Linked DNA regions of Styela clava. The protein of the gene in region 1 purifies or fractionates together with the protein of each later gene. This does not show direct contact. Links are inferred from orthologs where the notes say so. Each region holds a gene or a part of one and is shown on either strand. Other genes may lie near its edges.

Evidence for each region. Proteins that work in one complex are often made in the same cells at the same time.
Region 2: the proteins of gamma-tubulin complex component 2-like (region 1) and gamma-tubulin complex component 3 homolog fractionate together in Drosophila melanogaster (co-fractionation; 3 studies listed by BioGRID). This does not show direct contact. The link is inferred for Styela clava from reciprocal best matches to the Drosophila melanogaster genes Grip84 and Grip91.

What each region holds. Positions count from the first base shown.
Region 1 is NC_135255.1:3,626,748-3,634,329, forward strand, and holds the start of gamma-tubulin complex component 2-like, read right to left. Parts: upstream 3,012-7,582; 5' UTR 2,956-3,011; coding exon 2,900-2,955; intron 2,322-2,899; coding exon 2,249-2,321; intron 2,164-2,248; coding exon 2,072-2,163; intron 1,549-2,071; coding exon 1,347-1,548; intron 323-1,346; coding exon 110-322; intron 1-109. Other genes in the region: alpha-L-fucosidase-like, read right to left, coding at 5,094-5,337, 5,756-5,946, 7,124-7,324.
Region 2 is NC_135254.1:11,604,673-11,612,557, reverse strand, and holds the start of gamma-tubulin complex component 3 homolog, read right to left. Parts: upstream 3,001-7,885; 5' UTR 2,983-3,000; coding exon 823-2,982; intron 553-822; coding exon 361-552; intron 1-360. Other genes in the region: deoxyribonuclease TATDN1-like, read right to left, coding at 3,555-4,478.

The DNA of each region.
Region 1 (7,582 bases):
TGAAGTGTGTTTTTTGATATCATCAAAATGACTGGATAAAGAATCAGAATATTACTACAGACAGAAGAGAAGAATGTAATACAATAAAACTTTGAAGATTGAAACTCACTGGATGTTGAGTGCTTGAGTCATATACAAAATCAGCAGTTAAATATTTTCTGCTATTATCACCAGCAAGCCAGTATGGTGATGATGGAATAGGATGTTGACGAGGTCTTCTGGCGTTGTGCTGTTCACGCAGTGTTTTCCTGAATGACTCTGCTGAAGGAATCAAACCCAATGCAGATGATGGTCCCGTGGCTTTTTCTAGAGTACTTCGCAACTGTAGAAACAAAATTTGGCGTCGGAAAATTTTATCAAGGCAAATTTCTCCTTATGTAGGTGAGGATTAGGGCTGAAATTTGTCTAGATGAAATATTTTTCATGGGTGAATATTTCTGCAGAAGAAATTTTCCCAGCACCCAAACATGTTATGTCAGTTTTGAGATATAGGATATGATATATTTAGTTTAAGAAAAATTAATAAAAAGGATTGTATTCATAGGTATTTAGAATCAACCCTTATAATTGATACAATTTCTAATACTATGAATGAATTATTCAACTCAGTATCTCCGTATGATTTGTCATAAAATCATGGTTTCAAATTTCAATGAAAAAAGGTGCAATGTAGCAAATTTACAGTAATTTATTGGCAATTTAATTAATATATACCAATTCAACTTCCTGAAGAAAAAATATGATTCCAATTTTGCCTAATTTTATTTGAATTAAAATAAATTGGAAAATATTCGCATTCGTGTATTTTTTATCACACCATATCTAATTGAAGTTCTGAGTCAAGGATGTTCGAAACTACTAAACGAATATTTTAACAGATTCAAAATAATTGTATTCAATATTTTAAATTCTTGATTTTTGAATAATTCAGAATAATTAGGGTTAATTATGAGCGCTGTGTCCTGTGTGTCTGGCCGGTATTTTTGTGCAAACGATAAGCTGTAGCTAATAATTAACACATGTTCATTGTTCACTATAATTCTGGCTTTTCAAGTTCATGGACTAACGAGATGAAAATGTATTTTAGTCCGCGGAGGGTAGGGTTCTTGGAATTTTGATATTCGACATAGTTGACTAGAAAATGGCAGGAAATTATGATAAATTTGGAAACTATCGAAGCTTTTTTTCGGTCACACAAAACAACTGAGACCCAATACATTTAGACCCAATACATTTAATTCTACAATAGTAGATATTATGTTTTGTGAATGTGAATATTTATTCACCCCTATTCTGTTATATTCAAAATCAAATACCAACATTGGAATTTCCAAAATAAATTTCACCTCAGATATTTCTTTTGGGGTTAATTTTGATCCAGATGGTGGAAGAGTAATATTTGATGTACCAAGGATTGAAGATGGAGAAATAGGAATCATTTTAGCAGCTTCTCCTCTCTCCTCGGCATTTTTTGTCAAGGTGGCATGCAAACTTGGTTTGTTATTCAGGTTTGATAGAAAATGTATCATAGAATCCAAGTTGCGAACACTGAACGAAATAGATTTTTGAAAATAAACTCAAACATGAAAACAAAAAACTTTGTCATTTTAAATCTTGTACTGCCATAGGCAACAGCTGCATAAGCAGCTAGCATAGGTGACGATTTTGCGCAACATACAAAGTTGCTCGGAGTTAATTTTACCGAAACATAAATGGGTTTAAGTCACGAAGTGATGGGGCTGGTGGTCAAAGGTCAGACATTACACAGTGTATTCTCCGACTGGTTTATTTTGAAAATCTACATCATTACGAACAAACTGTTGCATTAATAATCATATTGCAATTGAATTATTATATTTTGACCATAAGGTAGGAGTGAAAAATCTGGAAATTTCCATTTGGAAATACCAGTATGTGGTAAAAGGGTTAAGAAACTAAAGGTTTTTAAATTTGCCTAGACCTATTCTACACCACATTTATCGCCAAATGTTAATATTTCAATGGCCGCTAGTCAAACACAACGGCGTTATAATATACAAATTTTGAAACGAAAAAGTGTTTATTAGCATACTTTTTGGACTTCAGTTCTTCATACTTTTGCAAGAATTCCTTGGGTTTGGAAGCTTTCTCACAAATTTTGACAGCAGAACTATGAGTGTTCACCTTCAATAAAAGTTATTATTCTCTTAAATGATTAGAACAGATTATAATTATCAGAATATACTTCAACACCATGAGTAATACATACTTGTGTTGTGACAAAAGGTGTTCGACTTTTCAGAAGAGTTTCAGTGTGTTCTTCAGCCTTCCCTTTGTCGACTCTGAATGATGATTAAACATTTAATATGAAAGATAGTTTAAAAATAATTTTCAACCGTAACACCATGATTTCATAAAGCATGAATATATATCTTCTTATTACTCTTTTTAGACACAAGATATTCTCAAATTACAAAACACAGTAGATTTATAATGGTGAATTTCCAATGTTCCATTCTAAGATTTTAATATGATGTTGTACAAAATCCATGGATTATAAATTAAATCATTTTTCTGATAAGATGGCATGGCATTATTATATGGCAAATCACGATCTCTGATCCAGCTACCAATCCATGTCATATAAGAGAATAGTATACAAGTTATTCGTCCCATATGCATGGATTTTACAGAAGAAGTCATAAACGACCAGCAGTTATTTATGTGAACCAACTTACGACAGCGGAGAGTCAAGCAATTCCATCACACTGAATTATACTCCATAGGACCTGTGAACTAATGCAGACTAATCAGAGGTGCAATTTCAAGCATGTTCTTAACGCTTATCATAATGTGCCAACCACTTGTGTTAGAGTAAGTTCAAAATTAAAATTTAAACAAATAATCAATACAGACTTACTTCAACAATTGTAAGAGTTGGTTGACATTATGATGAATTCGAAACTCTTCACTCATGTTGGAAATCAGATTTATATTGTTGTAATTTTATTTAAATCTAATGTATGATTTGAAAATATTAGAATGTGAAGGTTATCAAGTACACGTAAGGAACCAATATGAAATTTCCAGCAGAACTTGATTCAGACGATTCATATACAGTATACACAGAAAAAAATCAATGTATCAAAATTGAGGATCACATATTAGGAACTATTCAGAAAGAAGAAATGGCTGTAGTCAAACACTAATAAAATCTAAGGTTATCAGAAAATCATATTTTCGTTGGAAAGACTGAAAGGCAACAGTGGGTCTAGTGTCCGTAGTGTGGTGTAGTTTTAGTGGGTGTAGCGTAACGATATTTGCATATTTCTGACCCCCACCTGACGTCAACCAAAAATTCTATCACTGCGACAACAACAATCGCAAGAAAGATAGCCAGCTTCAGTGAGTTCATTGTCACAGACATCCTTACGGGCCATCGATGCTATATTTTGGCAAGCTTGATTATGTGATTGTGATGTCACAGTGACATAATTTTTGAATGACATAGTCAAGTAATAAGGTAAGGGTCAGGAATGATATATAAAAATTTTTATACCATTCACACTAGAAATACTGGTGGCACTAGACCCACAGCAGCCGTTCCATAGTTCAAGCTTCGTTCAGGATATTGTTTTGGGGATTTGCGGGTAAAAAATTTCATTTGGCTTTCGTGTCCATAGGCTGTATTTCAAATTCTTTAAAAAAATTCCATGATTACAGTTCATTTTTTTTGAAAATAGATGATGGGCAGAGTTAAATTGTAAGCAATATTCTGGTATATTATGTGGAAGTGCATGCATTCACTTCAATGAAAATTATATTCATGGTGGACTCATATTGTGTAATGATAGATATTAGAATACTGCAAATAATCAATATAAAATGCGGGGCATTTGGACCATGCATAAATGAACTAAAAATATCTGGAACAATATTTACGATAGATCCACATCAAGCAAACGTTGCATATAGTCACAAACATGGCTTCAAAATAGCAATGTCACATGCCCTCACTCAGAAATAAAGTAGACTGATCTCTGAGCGAAGGTACTACAGTAGGCCAGTAAAATGCCAACAGTTACTGAGACTATAAGGAATTATGGTGTTGAATAGCTCATTGGCAAACACAATATTAGGGTAATCAATCATAGAAAAGTACCGTATATATTTTAAATCACAAAATTTGGTCACTGCATTATCATTAAAGAAAATAACAAAATTATAAGACATGAAAAATTAAACTGCAAAATGAACTGAATTTGATAGTACTAATACCAAACATACAGCTCTCTTAAGTAATATAAGTAATTTTCATTTAAAAGACAAAAAAAAGACTTGATTATTCTCTGTCATCACTCATCGGTATAGTTTTAAGTCAGATTCGGCCATAGTTAGCATATCTAATGGCAGCAGTAGCAATGGTCATGTTGGTCATAATAATGCTTTAATAATTTATAATCACTGTACAGAACTTTTCTAATCAGGACGAGCTTGTGGCATAACAAATACCTTGCACAAATTTTGCATGAAATAGAACTTGAGCACTACAAACTGCGTTATAACATCAAAATTGAGTACAAAAGTTTTTCTCACGGCATGGTAAAGTAGCAGTATAGAGCATTGGGATGAGTTACGGTAATTACATGGCAGAATTGTTTTACTTGCTATCTTGATTTATTCAATTTGTTATTCAAAACTGATGAACTAAACCACATAACTTTTAAAAAACAATAGTGAAATAAAAACAAACTCACTATTCTAGAAATAATCATTTGTAGACTATTATTGAGAAAGTGCACCTTTTCCCACTAACAATAATGGATTTTGGTATATCAATATTACTTGCAAAATATAGCCATTTACATTATTGCCAGCAATACTACTAGATAGGTAGAATTCCACAATACATGATTACAAGTTATATAAAATGTACTGCTTCACCAATTGAAAATATTTTCACTTGAACTTTTTGATAGGATCAAAATGAAAAAACATGTTGAAAAACGAGCCCCAAGAAAATTTTCAGACCCAAAGATTCAGAAAAACTGGTATATTGCACAAAATGATGCAATTAATTAGGATTCAAAAAAACGAAGTACCGGTAATATATTCTACTGAAATCCAACAAGCTTCAGAACCCAAACCCATTTGTTGGGGATTTCAGTTGGCTTGATGCTGTTGAGGTTTACTGTAATACCATTTGACTTGATGGGCTCCCATGGCAAAGATATTGAAGTGCCTAGAAGAGAAACCTTTGAGGTTTCAGCTACGGGAATCGCAGAACCTAAAGTCAGAGATCCAGATTCCGGCCATGTAAAAAAAAATGCATACACTGTTCCTGGCTTTGCTGTATACCTGAGAAGGAAAAGATAAAGCAAAATTATTTTTTATTCAGGGGAATTTCCGTTTGCTCAAATTTGAAACAAATATACTAATTATATATTAGTACAGTGGGAAGCTAATAAAACAGCCTAATATTGCGAACCACGACCTCTCGTCCGGTTATCAGTCTATGGCGGGTACAGGAATAGTTAAATAGTTTCAGTTTTAGATGCATGGAACTGATAGTGGAAAATGCTATATTTGACCATTGGTTATGTAAACCACCCCGTGATGACGAGGAGAGCAGCAATACAGGGACACATAATTATTCCCCATGGGATTTGAACCTGCAAACCCCACGAGGTAATCGGAGGTGCGATGGCAAGCGCATTCCTAACGCATAATATGCATATTATGCTGAGCTGAAATTTACTTGTTACTAGTTACGTACCAAATTCCCTTAGACAGAGTATCATTCTGATGAGTCCAAGGTGTAGAACCATACACAGCTTCACCGATAACACCGAGCCATTCTCCCATCTGCCTCAATCTTTCCTGATAGAGAGCTGGAATAGTTCCTTCTTTAGTTGGTCCAACATTCATCAGCATGTTACCGCCACAACTGATAGTTGTCACAAAAGTCTATATGCCAAAATATGAGGTTAACTTCATATTCCCAGTGGTGTTAATCAAAGTCAAAATTTCAAACGAAAACTCAAAAAGGATTGAGTAGAATAATCACTACCTATAGACAATCATATAGTCGACTTTCATACACACAAGCTTTTGTTAGGAATAAATCGCTAAAAAAAATAGGTGCTTCTGTAGTATGTGCACCAAGATGACCAAGATGACCAAGATGACCAAGATGTTCAGGTAGTGCTCCATCTTGGTACAGATACTCTGGGAGCACCCCAAAATAAATCCTCAAAAGACCATTCTGGGAGACAACATATATTTTTAAACTTTTGAAATGTCAGCCAACTCATACACTGCTAAGTTAATTGAGTTAGGTTAGAAATAAAGAAGTTAATTGTTGTGGAGCAAAAAGATTCAAGTCACAGAGAAATGTGGTAGTTTGAAGAGAATAGCGTGTATGTACTTGCTCTTACTCAGGCAAAAAATAAAGAGGGTTAGTGTTAGTTTGATCTGAACAGGCATCTCCAAAGATTAAAGCACCTTTTTATCAGCTGCAGCTTCTCATTTATGGCCATATTACAAGGTTCTATACAAGCAGTCACTGATATCGGGCAATATGTGAAGATTTACTATTATTTGGATGGGCTGGGATCTTTCTGATTCGGCATTGTCTATTCAATTTATTATTTCCTGGGTGCATGGGGGCATGGCATTTGAACCAGAGATGGGTAATCTGATGTCAAAACAAAACAGTTAAGTCAACACTTTAAGCGTTAGGCCAATGTGCCACCCATACTATGTGTCTTTTCCCAATTTTGTTCCTTGTCATATCTCATTGAAGTAACAAGACACACAACATGGTAAGAAGTCAGCTTTGATTTTATTGGGTTATCTTGTCAATTATTGGGCGCTCCAGAAGCATGTGTAACAATATGGAGGAAACTAATTTTGTTTGCCTACTTTACATAAGTTGTGTACAGGGACTGATCACTATGGTCTATGGGCAAGGGGTGTATTCACTCGATCAACACAGACAGTCCCCGAACTCATGATAGAACTAAAATAAGAAAATCAGAATAAAATTATGGCCTAACCTTAACCTGGTACACATATTACAGGGAGATTGTATAGAGGGAAGAAGCGCAAACGACACACTCTCCCATAAACTATTCATTCGTACCTGGATAAGGTTCTCAATGGACAAATAATCAGAAAACTTTGCATTTCTTCTGAAACCCCAAGATAATCCATCAATTGTCATAGCATTTTCCCACTTCCTTGGTTGCAGAACACCAGGATTGTATCGATCATTGCAAGTGAAAAATCCACCGTGTTTACATGGGGTCAACATACCCCATCTGTCATTGGTTACAACAGTGCTCTGCACAGAAAAATTAGAAAAGCTTTGCATAAGACATCATAAACACTGGCACAGTGGTGGCGGAGAAGCATAGGGTTGCTATTGCGAGCATGGTTTTCACAAGATGCTCAAATTTTTATAAGAAAGGGGAACTGGACAAATTACCGTAGATATTTTTATTTGAGCATTGTAGTACATTGGCTTACTGGCCAAGTTTTTATTAGAAATACAGTTTGAGAAAAAATATGGTCATTGCTGAATTGAGCAAAACTTCAATTA
Region 2 (7,885 bases), on another chromosome or scaffold:
CTTAAATCTTTTTTAGATTTTGCCCCCTTTCCTGATTTTCCGTACAATTGTTTGTTTTGCCATGTATTGTTTTGTTGTATTGGAAAATCGAAATAAACACTTACTTACTTAGATATATATAAGGGCTGAAACAAAACTGGGTACTCCTGTAGTGTGAGTACTAGGCTAGGCCATAATTTGATTCCGATTTTCCTTATTTTAGTTCTATTACGAATTCAGGGACTTATTTGTGTTAGCCAAGTGAGTATATCTCACACCCAAAGATTTCAGTCTCTTTCCACAACTTGATGTAAAGTAGTGCATAATTAATTTTCCAAATGAAAAAACCAACCAATAAAAACCAATATAAAAGGATTCTACCTTTAAAGTCTCGAATAAGACAATCTGATCGAAAATTGAACGTAATTGCGTCAATAAATTCTGCGATCCTTGATCAAGTAAGCATCTCTTCATGATTGCTTCAAGAAACTGTCTGTGTGCAACAATTACTTCATCTAAGTCTTTAGCAGATTCAACCCTCTTCAGCAAGTCTGCCCATGAACACTCCAAAACCTAGATGACAAAAGAAAGTTAAAGTTGAACCAAATTAGGAATAAGGCACCTTTAAAAAAGAAACAGTTTGTCATAAAAACATCAGTATAACAATTTCGAACACTGTAAAAAATTTGTTGAGTGCAGTGGCCAAGTGGTTAAAACATTGAGCCTATGTCGACAATTGACATTACAGGTTATAGATCTTGATTGATGATTCCAATCCCAAATTCAAATGATGTGATAGAAACACATACACATAGCGCATGAAACGCAAAATAATTCCCATACCTCGAATGCAATATAGTACTGAATTTGGTGAACCAAATGAACCATCTGAGCAGCAAGAGTGTGGCACATGTGAAGTATTCCTCTAAGTTCAGGCAAGTGAGGAGAAAGTCTCATGGATTGTTCCATTGTATCTGTCCATATAGTAGCAAGATTGTGTTCCATGCGTTTTGCTCTCCAAAGAAAATTGAAGCATCTGAGATAAAGTAGCATAATATCAGGAGTGATAATTGTACTCAGTGGTTGATTGATGTGATAATCAAGACTGAAAACATCCCATCCAGTATCGCCTGGATTTATTTCCAGAAGACGTATGTTCAAACGAGACTGAACATCTTGATCTTCGAATTGTGCATTTGTGGCTCGGACAGCAGCTTCAACGAGGCCGTTCAGGTTATGTCTGTACAATTGACCAGCAGGTCTCGCTAAATCGTCATGCAACAAGTCTAGTAAATGTCGAACAAAATCACCCTGACCAAGTAAGAGGAATTTTCTCATTGCTCGAAGGTGGGTCAGAAGTTTGTATCTGTCGCTCAGGACATTCAAAAGGCAACGACTAGTGGCCTCATAAGCTTCGTCCACTCTCTCTTGCAACTCTGTGCCAAAATCTAACGTACTGTCCAAATGTGCATCTTCAGGTAACTGAAATTCTTGCTTGTTTCTGATATCAACTTCTGTACGATCACGACAAACCAGCCTAAGAAAATTCAAAGACTTTCCAACAAGTAAAATTTTTCTTGCTTGGCTGTCTGTCATAAATGATGGAACCATAGATTGTCTCAAGTGATACTTGTCATACCACAACCGATCGTTGTTGACGGTAGGATCCATTGCAACAAAAAATTCATGAAATGTGTCCTGTAGTTCACCATCATAAATCCATCGACTCAAAATGTAAAAAATTGGTTGCGTCGATATGACCAAAAGACGTTTTGTCAACAACCGCATGCTAACATCACCAGTTTGCATAAAAGCATGAATAGTGGATGCCAAGGCACCACCTTTCCTGTCCTTACAATTATCTACGAGCATAGCGACCCATTGCAGTCTCTCTTTAGGTTCAGATGTCCAATCCAAGAGTTTGTAAAAAGTTAGACGACTCCCAGCATCACCTGCAAAACCCTGATCTTCTTTGTATGATTGGGACTGTAATACAGATAAGAATCTGTAATACTCTTGCAACTCTTGAACCAATGCTGCACAAAAAGCCTGACCGACTAAGCCGAAAGCTAAATCCTTACTATGTTTATCAATATACTTTCTTATTCTGTTATGCAACCAGCCTAGTTCTGCAAGTTTATGAACCATTTGAGCAGTACGCTTATCGACAGTTGCTTTCGGAGTGATTCGAAATGCATCTTCTCTTGAACTCATTTTAATATTTTCACTTTCAGTGCCACGAAAAACATGCAAAAGTTCGCGAAGTAGAGTGCTGTCTGCAATTCTATTCACAGGAACTTTTGTCTTGTTGCTATGAGAAGATGATGATGAAACCCTTGACTTGTCCTGAACACTGGATTTATATTTTCCATCATTGCTTTGTACAGTTGTACTTGGATCCGTTTTCAATGTCAAATTGTATCCTGTAGAAGGTGTTATTCCCCATGCAAGACGTGAACCAAGAGACATACTTTGAAAATCGTTTGCAGGGGTATCAATGCTACTTGGCAAACCACTATTTGATGATCTTATAGTACCTTGACTATTAACAGTTCCAAATCCACTACTGGCATTCCCAGAGGAATGCAGACGGCTTGCTGGTGGAGTCAAATCCATAAGTGGTGTTGACGATATAGCAAGGCCCTGTCGAAAAAGCAACGTATTTTTTGTGTAATTTTTAGATTTATCTTTTGACAAACTCCTCAGAAGGTATAAGACAGACCAAAGGTTTTGTATTCGACCTGAAGCAGCAAGTCTTCTATAAAGATCACTTATTTTGGCAGCTTTTTCTTGCATTCCTCTTGTGGCCAAATCTCGTTTAATGCGATCAATAACAGTGTTTTCATTGCAGTTCGGTATCGGTTGGTCTCCAAGGTCCGATAGCATTCTTAATGCATATGCAGTCAACTTCTGGGAATGCCTTGGATTATCATCACTCAATAATACACACAATTCGTTAATTAGAACTTCAGGAGTTGGCTGATTTCGATTTTTCGTTGCCATTATTATTTAAAGATGATACTATATTAGAAAGTCATGTAACAAATTTAGGAAGCTGAAAATTGAGTTTTTGAATAAATTGATAAATGTAACCCAAACTATCCCCATTCGAACTACATTTTCATCTATATTTGTTTTGAAAATGGTTTCAAATACGATACTCAAAAAGAGTCTCAGTAACTAAGTATAATCGTCTAATTAGCCATGATCAGTGGCCAAATGAAAAGGATTGATAAATGTATCTAACTAAAATCAAAAAGCATCTGAGCAGAATTGCTGAAATAAACAATATATCACAAAATAGGCAAATATTATCATTTTAAAGATCACCTTCATATTGATAGAACTTTTAAAACAAGCGATACAAAAATCAGCTTCAAAAACATCAGGAAGTCTAATTGTTGTTGTCGAAGTAAATTCTAGTTTTTGCACACAAAAAATGTTTCTAGAATGTCAATTGTCAATATGAACTCTTGATTCTTTTTTGGTGCAATAATGAAACTTAAAAATAGAACTGTATGTGTCAAAATGCAAGATGATTTTTTCAGTGATAAATCTAGCTTTATATCCTAAAATCAGACATCGTTTTTCCTGTCAAAAAATAACTTTTTTGTATTTTCAAACATTGTGGTCGCCAGTTCCGTCAAATCCTCTTTTCTAGCTTCAGCCATTACTTCTAATACTTGAACAATATTGCACGGTTCATTGCGACCTTTTATACAATGGTCTTTTTCCCATTTCTTTTTCGTTGGAAACTTTGTTTTAATAAAAGAATGCCCAGCATGCGTTGGTTTTATTTCACACCACGGTGCATCAGTTTCAATCATAAGTTTGTCTGATGGGATAGAACAAATGGACATTAAATTTTCTTTTTGCTTTAAAGAGCATCCATTTATTCCTATAAACAAATTTAAGTCTATTATTGCTTTCGCTTCTTCAGGTGTGCCATCAAATGAATGAACAACACCTCCAGATATTCTATTACGATTCTGTCGCATTATATCCAAAAAATCATCATGTGCATTTCTGCAATGTAAAAACATTGGAAGGCCTGTATGTTCCGCCAAATCAAATTGTTTAACAAAATACTTCAACTGAGTTTCCTTAGGACAAAAATGCAAGCGATCATAATCTAACCCACACTCACCAATGGCTACTACTTCATCACCATTGCTAGAGGCAATATCAAATAATGATTTATAATATACTTCAGGACCATGTTCATCAAATTCTTGGCATCTGGTAGGATGGCATCCCACTGTTGTAAACAAAAATTGACTGGCTTTACATATTTCCAAGCTATCCGCGCAATCCTGAAGGCATCCACTAGTTACAATGATTTTATCCAATCCAACTTTTTTCGCTCGATCAATGACATCCTTAAAATCATCTTCATGCTTCTCTTTACCTCTATAAACTCCTCTAAACACAGGATCAGTCAAATTTGCTCCAATATCAATAAATTTGGCCATTCTATAAAGTCGTGTTAAGTTTTTCATTTACCGTTGTCCCGACATCCACAGATAAACATATCCGTCTCTATGAACGGTAATATCAGAATACTGTAATAGAGAGAGAGAATTTATTTTTTCGTCAAACCAGAAAACATATAATAGGTAAATATAAATGATAAGAAAAGTTTTCGGTAGATGACTGGGTGGTAACGATACAACCATTTAGTATCTGAGTCAGATACCACCCAATACACCCACTTACAATAGATAAATAGACACAGGTTCTGGTTTGTTCCACTCTTAGTTTATAAAAATCTCTATACACCGTGTACAAAAAACGTGATCTGATTAGAAAGAAGACGAATTTCGGAGTAATCTCAGAATCTAATCAGGACCGGGGTATATTTTTTTTAAATGAGTTTCCAATTCCTAAAGCAAATATTCCAAAAATTAAGAATTCATTACCAAATATATTAAGTTACAAGTATATAAATCCAAATATTCTATCTGTTATTGAAACCTGTTATTTAATCTAATATTCAATAATTTTAGCAGGGAGGCTGGAACAAACTAAATTACGATAATCCAAAATATATTTTTTGCCATGTCATTCTCCAATTTGTCAATCTATTAGACATTGGAAAGTGTATTAATCACAGTGAAATAGTTGATTCATTAGAGAGCTACTACATGAAAATAATAGGCTTATGATCCCCGATCATATGTATCTGAATTGCAATTCAGGGATAGCAGGGAAGGCAGATTGGTCATATCACGCCATGCTTGTCTCGATAATAATCTAAAGGAATCATGGCCGTTATGTAACCAGTTTTTTTGCTAAAAACTCTCTAATTCTATGGAAAAACTTTTTTTTCAGGAAATCTGATTATTAAAAAGCAATATCGAAAACAAAAAGTTACTTACCCTTCGACACAGTACGGTATATATATCAATTTCAATAGGAAACAACTCAAGGATATATCAGTATATAAAGGAAACATATCTGAAATGGCCATGTTAATATTATACTCAAATAGTATGATTCAACTAATGAAAATAGGATATAATCTGAATAATCGCATGCATGAATTTAGTGTGATCAGTTATTTCTGTATTTGGTGAAGGATTTCTAATAGTATTGGCTGAATGTGCAAAAATATGAATTTGGATTTTATTATCTGATGCAATAATACGATTTGGCTTCAACACCCCAGACATCCAGTCATACATCAAGTACACGTTTTTAATTCAAGTAGTATTTTAAAAAAATGTGATGCCACATGAGATTCCTGTCAGATTTAGCTTTAGGCACACAGATGTTCCATGTCATACGCGTTTATTGTAAAACGGTTGACTGTAAATAAAATGAAATAATCATTAATCAATAAACAATCACAAGATGAGGGCGGAAAGAAAATGCATAACCAGATAGTTAATAGAAGATAAACTTACATATTGTAACGCTCCAAAGGCCTAAATCGACAAGAAACTCACAGGTAACGTGAACGATAATGTTATTAGAATAAAAATAGCAACTAAATTTAGAAAGCAGTTAATAGGAATGCAATATAAAAATACATGAACAATTAAAGCAATAAATGATGACGATGGTCATATGGGGCCCCGGTTACGATACCCTCAACACAGCTCTACCTAACGAGACCAAATGCCACCCACACGCTAAGTCAGTAAAGCGGATAATGCGAAACCACTAACATCATAATAAGATTAAACAAGGACGTCCTTCGGCGCGTAAAGTCGGTATGCAAGAGCCACGCGTGACACGTCAGATGCAGTGAAGCCCGCGAAACTCGCGTCAAAACAGAAAAGCAATTATCGATAAAAATTAGCCAGTCGGAACACAAGGAAAAACAGCGTTCAAAATATAATCAACTGAAAAGAAACCTCGGGTCTAGTATAGTTTAGTACCACAAGTACTTCCAGTGGGCCTAGCATAACAAACTTTGCATATGTTATTGCTAACCCCCACCTAACTATGCCATCCAGAATTACGTCACTACGACGTCACCATCACGTCATAGGGCTTGCCGAAGTATAATTACGATCGCCCGAAATGGGATCTGCGCCGATCTCGGGTCTCGTGTAGTTTCGTACCTAACGTACATCTAGTGGGCGTAGCATAACAATTTTTTGATATGTCAATCCTAACCCCTATCTGATTACGCCAACCAAAAATTAAATCACTACGACATCACAATCACGTCATAGAGCTTGCCAAATATACGCCCGATCGACCGAAATGGCATTGGCGCCGACGATAAAGAACTGACTGACGTTATCGGTCTCTCTCCTATTGGAATTGTTTCGACGAGAAAACGTGAGAAATAACTGTTCGATTTCGGGTGCTCGGTTGCGCGTCTTGGATGGCAGTTCGTATAGTTTGAAGGGCTCTATTACGTCACTGTGACGTCGTAATGACGTAATTTTTGGATGGTGTAGTCAGGTGGGGGTTAGGATTGATACGTGAAAAAATTGTCATGCTACGCCCACTAGAAGTATGTTAGGTAAGAAACTACATGAGACCCGGCGATCTCTCTCCTATCGTGATCGTTGTGGCGAGAGAACGAAAGAAATAGCTTGCTCAATTTTGGGGGATACCGGTACGGTAGTCTGCGCGTTTTGGACGACCATCCGCATACTTTGGTGGGCCCTATTACGCCACTGTGACATCGAAATGACGTAATTTTTCGGTGATGTAGTCAGGTGGGGGTTAGGATTGACATATGCAAAAATTGTTGAGCCAGGCCAACTAGAAGTGCATGTGGCACTAAACTATACCGGTACCGGTACCTACCAGACCCGCCTACTGCTACGGTATACATCAGAATACCGGTAAGCGATATAACTTCAACGTTCGTAAATACCCATATACGCTGATACGGTAACTCATACCCAACGACTATCATACCCTCATACCACACCGCCATTTACAGATACCGGTACTGTTTGTAAATACCGCCGTTTCGCATTTACAGATATGGCAGGTAGGTACTGTTTGTAAATACCGCCATACACCAACGTGCCGTAACTTCTACATTCCCAACAACCGCTATGCACCACCATTTGTAAATATGATATTTGTGAATGTAAAAATTAGTGCGGAATTTACCAATATTCGTATATAGCGCTTATAGCTTATAATGTAGTCTATAACTTACATTGCAATTTTATTTCGATTTTAGAGATAGAATTACCGAAATAAACTTATCCTTTTTATACCGGTATTTACGAATGTAAAACTTGTAGGGGTTACAGCGCCAACCATTACCAAATGGTGGCGTACCGGTATAGCATCTTTGCGGTCTTACTACTTACCGAATACAACGCGAAACACCGCAAAACAGTGGGGAAACAGCGCGGAAGAGCGCAAAACAGAGGGAAACAGTGTGAAGCAGAAAAAAATTTTGCAATGAGTTCGGGCACCTTGTTTT